Kluyveromyces lactis: one gene and its partner. The protein of the gene in region 2 purifies or fractionates together with the protein of the main gene of each other region. This does not show direct contact. Links are inferred from orthologs where the notes say so. Each region holds a gene or a part of one and is shown on either strand. Other genes may lie near its edges.

Region 1 (2,480 bases), on a different chromosome or scaffold from region 2:
AATATTATTATACCTGGTTGTCATTTTCGGGTTCTATTTGCAAGAAATAATAGATGATGATTTCTGGGATATATCTCTTTTCGTTAGATTCATAAACTAAACTGACAGAATGAAATGTGGAGATACTAATCCACTGATAATTACACAGGAGAGGACTTTAAATAAAGAATAAACAGACACGTTAATTATTTATACATATCATTTAAAAAAGAGTTTACGAATAATAGTCGAAGGAATTATGATTAGCAGGACACGAAATGGATGTCGAAAGAGTGAAATCCAACCATTTTAAAATACCAAAAGTGTGCTGTCACAAACCGAGATTGTGATGCACCATAAAGATTCCCTTTATACGCTTTTTTTCCCTTTGGGTATGTGGTCAAGGTAAATTGAGATGATTCACAGCGATCAGATGAGGCCTGTCCAAAACAGATTTCTAACTATACTCATAATCCCTTGCATCGACAGTGTTTGGTAAATGTTGATTTAATTTATTGAGTGTTGAAATGAGGAGGGATGTGCTAATTTACAATAGAGCGGTTGGAGGAGCGTGACCTGAGTTAGAAGTTCTGTGATTGTAGAACTCCAACTTTTCACCTTCACCAAGTTGTAGAACTTGCTTAAACTTGGTAGCAATGTTAGTCAAAGCGTTCAAGTTGGTAGTTCTAGTCCACAAAGCAATCTTGAAAACAGCCTTTCTGACATTCAAGACGCAACCGTTGATTTCTGATTCTTCTTCGTCGATGGTTTCACCAATAACGGCCAATAGAGTTCTCAACCACAAATCATCGATGTTATGTCTTTTGTTCTTGAATTGGTACGACAACTTACCACCTTCAGAGTTGGCTTCATCTTCCCATTCAGGTCTGATATCGTTTCTGAACAAATGGTAATCAGATTTGATTGGCAAATCGAATGGCTTTGGAATACCATTTTGAATAGCCCAGAACTCTTCGACAGTATCCAAACTGGTCACTGGACGCAATAAATCAGACCACGATTCTGAACTATCCACAGGGGGCTTAGTATACCATAAAGTCCATTTGCTACTCAAAGGATGCTTCAATTGAAATTCCTTAGGATCAGATAAAACAGTAGCTGGCTTGGCTTCGTCCACAGTTAAATCCTGGGTCTTTTGAGTAACTTCTTCAACGGACATGATATTCTTCTTTGGTCGTAAGATCGATGTCTTTCAGGTTCAAAATTGATCAGGTAACCTCTGGTCTTATACAGATACATTTACGAGTAAAAAACACTCGAAAAATCTTAAACATGCGCAGAGAGTCAATCCAATCTTTGATATCACATTCGTTAATCCAACTTCATTTTTTCTTCCATTTGCCAACTTCCCATAGTTAACAAAATTGAAAACCTTCGCAGCTGCTGCCTGTACTATGCTGTCACTGCTACAAATTTTTTTTTTTCTTTCTTCTAAGAGAGGGTAATGACGTTACGACTTGTCCGGGTAAAACATGAATCAGTTGTCAATACACGTGATTATATTCAAAGGACGGGTAATATTGAGTTTTCTGGAGTTTTTCATGCTCTCGAAGCATGCGAATTGAAATACAAACCGTAGCTGGCTTGTTTTAGCAGGATATCGGTATTATGTAAATTAAAGGGAGTTTAATTATGACAAGCACCTCATTAACGTAGCTGCTGTCACTATATCCATCGAATAGAAAGTTTATTGATCAAGGTGATAGTTTGTCGTAACATATTTCTTTTTGCCAAAGCGACATTTTCCTTCTAGTATGCATTTATACAAAATTGGGAAAATGGTACTCGGAAGCGCAGCTGTCATTGTTTCTGCTTCACTGGGCGCTCTATATTTGTACCAAAACAAGCTTATATACCCATCTTGGGCACAAGGTGCTAGAGACCATGTAGATACGCCAGATCAATACGGTTTGCCTTATGAAGATCTCACTTTAACGACTTCGGATGGTGTTCTATTGAAAGCATTTGATATAAGGAATGAAAATTCGACTGCAACCATGCTTGTTCTTTGCCCCAATGCGGGGAATATAGGATATTTCCTGCCCGTTGCTAGGTTTCTCTATAATGAGTTTAATTTGTCCATTTTTTTGTATTCCTATCGTGGATATGGGTTATCAACAGGGTTCCCATCGGAGAGAGGATTGAAGATAGACGCAGATACCGTCATGGACCATTTGACAAACAGTGAATTTCATAAATCAAGGAAGCTAATACTTTATGGGAGGTCCCTTGGTGGCGCTAATGCCATTTATCTTGCTAGAAAATTTACCGATATCTGCGATGCCATTATCCTAGAAAATACTTTCCTGTCCATTCGCAAAGTTATCCCATACGTTTTCCCAATGCTGAAGAATGTGGCATTCATGTGTCATGAAGTCTGGGATTCTGAACAGGAAATTGTCAACATACAAGATGATACTTTACCTTTCTTGTTTCTTGCTGGTTTAAGAGATGAGATTGTCCCACCCCCTCATATGAAA
Region 2 (2,430 bases):
TAGAAAAGAAGATCCCCATCAAAAAAGTAGTTGATCCAATGATCAATGCTGTACCTACAGCACAAAAATCCTTATAAGTTAGGCCCATATTTACTTTCAGTCAATGTGTTTAGTGAGCGATACCTACGTTCTCTTAAAAATGGAACGTATAGACCCTACGTGTGGTATTAAATGGTTAACAATTCATCTATAATTGAGCCATTGGTTTTTTCAGTACGCACTATATATTCTCTTTTTTTTTAATAATTTACATGATTTTTGCCCACCGAATTTTTTTGATTAGTATGAAAGATAAAGGAACTGAAAGGCGGAAAGGCATTATCGGAAGGCGCTATCGATAAATCATTTTAAAAATCCATTGATAAAAGCAGGACGTTTTAATCGATGTCATCTGGGCATAGATTACTTATTTTTAAAAGAATTGATGAGTTTCTTAATATTTATACATATAAGAACGGTATTTAATAGACTAATTAATAATATAGAATCAAACAGATATCAATTGATTTAAGCAGATTCAGCAGCTTCAACTGGTTCAGTTGGTCTGTAATCCTTGACAGAAGGTTCCAAAACTGGTTCTTCTTCCTTTGGTTCGATGATGGTAACAGCATCTGGCAAAGCCTTTGGACCAGAGGTGTTTCTAGATGGGTCCTTCATGATCTTAACCTTAATACCCAAAACACCTTGTCTCAACAAAACGTGTCTGGTAGCGGTTTCAATGAAGTCGTTGACTGGTTGACCGGAGTGGATCAAGAAACCGTCAGCGAACTTCATGGACTTGGCTCTAGCAGCTCTCAACTTACCGGAGATGACAACTTCACAACCCTTGGCACCAGATTCCATAACGTATCTGACAACACCGTAAGCAGCTCTTCTGATGGCCAAACCGTTCAACAATTTGAACTTCATGGATTCAGCTTGAGCAACAGCGGACAAACCACGGTCATGGACTCTTTCAGCGTATAAAGCAATGGTACCACGCTTGTACTTGAATCTCTTTTCAATCAACAAGGTCAATTCGTTGATTCTTCTACCATTTTCACCAACAACATCTTGAACCTTAGTAGCTCTGATGATAATTTCGGTCTTGGTTGGAGTAACTCTGACTTCGACACCAGAGTAACCTTCTTCAGCCAATTCTCTGGTGAAGAATTCGTTCAATTCGGCGTAGAAAACACCGTCAGCGACAAGCTTTCTCTTCTTGGAGATAATGGCAACCATTTTTACTTTATTTGTTCGTCGGGGAGCTCGAAATTATAGGTGATAATAAAACTAACTAAAGTAAGTATCTTGTATGTCCAATGGCACTTATGTTCATAATGAACCAGATTGTAAAGCGATGATGAGAACAATATTCGTCAAACCGTCCGAATCGCTGCGATTGGTATGGTGAAAATGAAAAAATCATCTGAAAGACAGTATTTACTCACCAACACATGTGGTGTATGGGTTAATGCTTCAGATAAATGAACATTTTCAATGAGATAAGTACCCAAAATGGCAATGCAGAAAAAATTGGAAAAAAAACTAAAACAAAAATGTCCGGGTGAGCAGTCCCAGGAACATATATTTTCAAGTCACCTGGTAAGCGTAGAAAACTCGCCGTAAACAGAAAACTTCAAGACCGTTCCTCCATTTCCTAATGGGGAAGTTCCTAAATAGGATTTATACGCGAGATGTTCCACCCCCTGCATTGGTTTATGTGAATACTCGAGAGCCTTGTGGTAACTCGCATCACTTAGGAAACAGACAACACAATTGTTTCAACGAATAATAAAATGGGAAATAACATAGGAATTCCAGACAATGTTGCAATCACGGCGTGTCACAGCTGCATACTTGTTATTCCGAAAAGAAAGTACGTCAATATTGACCGGGTTTTAGCAGGTATATGACCCAATATTGCTTCGGGTAATTACAGGATGCCGTTTCGTTTTCTCTCTCTCTCTCTGTTTCTCACAATTTGAACGAAAAAAAAGAATAATATTGGGAGCCAGTACACCTGCAGAGGGTACAGCGAGCACACTCGAATATACGGAATGTACCAGAAATGCCTCAACCTACCTACCCACTACAATCCATTATAACAACTACCTTTTCATGTTCCTAGTAAGTTTTCCCTAAGGCCAAAAAAAAAAAAAGAAAATGAAAATCAGCTACTTGCTCACTCGAAACAAGCACATCGATTGGTGCAACTTGTGTGAATAAAAAGAAAGAACCATGTAGGTAGGCAGCTCATTTTGTAAATGGTTTTCTGAGATGTTCGGACTCCTGCACAGCCTTTATAATGGGCCAATCAATTCCACTTTGTAACTTACTAGTTCACTCGTAGATCCTTTTACTGGTTGCCTATACAGTTTATTCCGTCTACCGCACAAAGCACAAAACTGCGCTATTCACTCCATTTCCTAGAGCCAGTACCTAAGAAAT

The links. Proteins that work in one complex are often made in the same cells at the same time.
Region 1: the proteins of RPS3 (region 2) and CDC33 purify together in Saccharomyces cerevisiae (affinity purification with western blotting; 3 studies listed by BioGRID, with this or other methods). This does not show direct contact. The link is inferred for Kluyveromyces lactis from reciprocal best matches to the Saccharomyces cerevisiae genes RPS3 and CDC33.

What each region holds. Positions count from the first base shown.
Region 1 is NC_006041.1:1,876,357-1,878,836, reverse strand, and holds CDC33 (translation initiation factor eIF4E), read right to left. Parts: upstream 1,160-2,480; coding exon 527-1,159; downstream 1-526. Other genes in the region: VNX1 (calcium/hydrogen antiporter), read left to right, coding at 1-100; KLLA0_E20989g (uncharacterized protein), read left to right, coding at 1,755-2,480. UniProt on the Saccharomyces cerevisiae protein: Recognizes and binds the 7-methylguanosine (m7G)-containing mRNA cap during an early step in the initiation of protein synthesis and facilitates ribosome binding by inducing the unwinding of the mRNAs secondary structures.
Region 2 is NC_006040.1:705,118-707,547, forward strand, and holds RPS3 (40S ribosomal protein uS3), read right to left. Parts: upstream 1,222-2,430; coding exon 508-1,221; downstream 1-507. Other genes in the region: SHR3 (Shr3p), read right to left, coding at 1-88. UniProt on the Saccharomyces cerevisiae protein: Component of the ribosome, a large ribonucleoprotein complex responsible for the synthesis of proteins in the cell.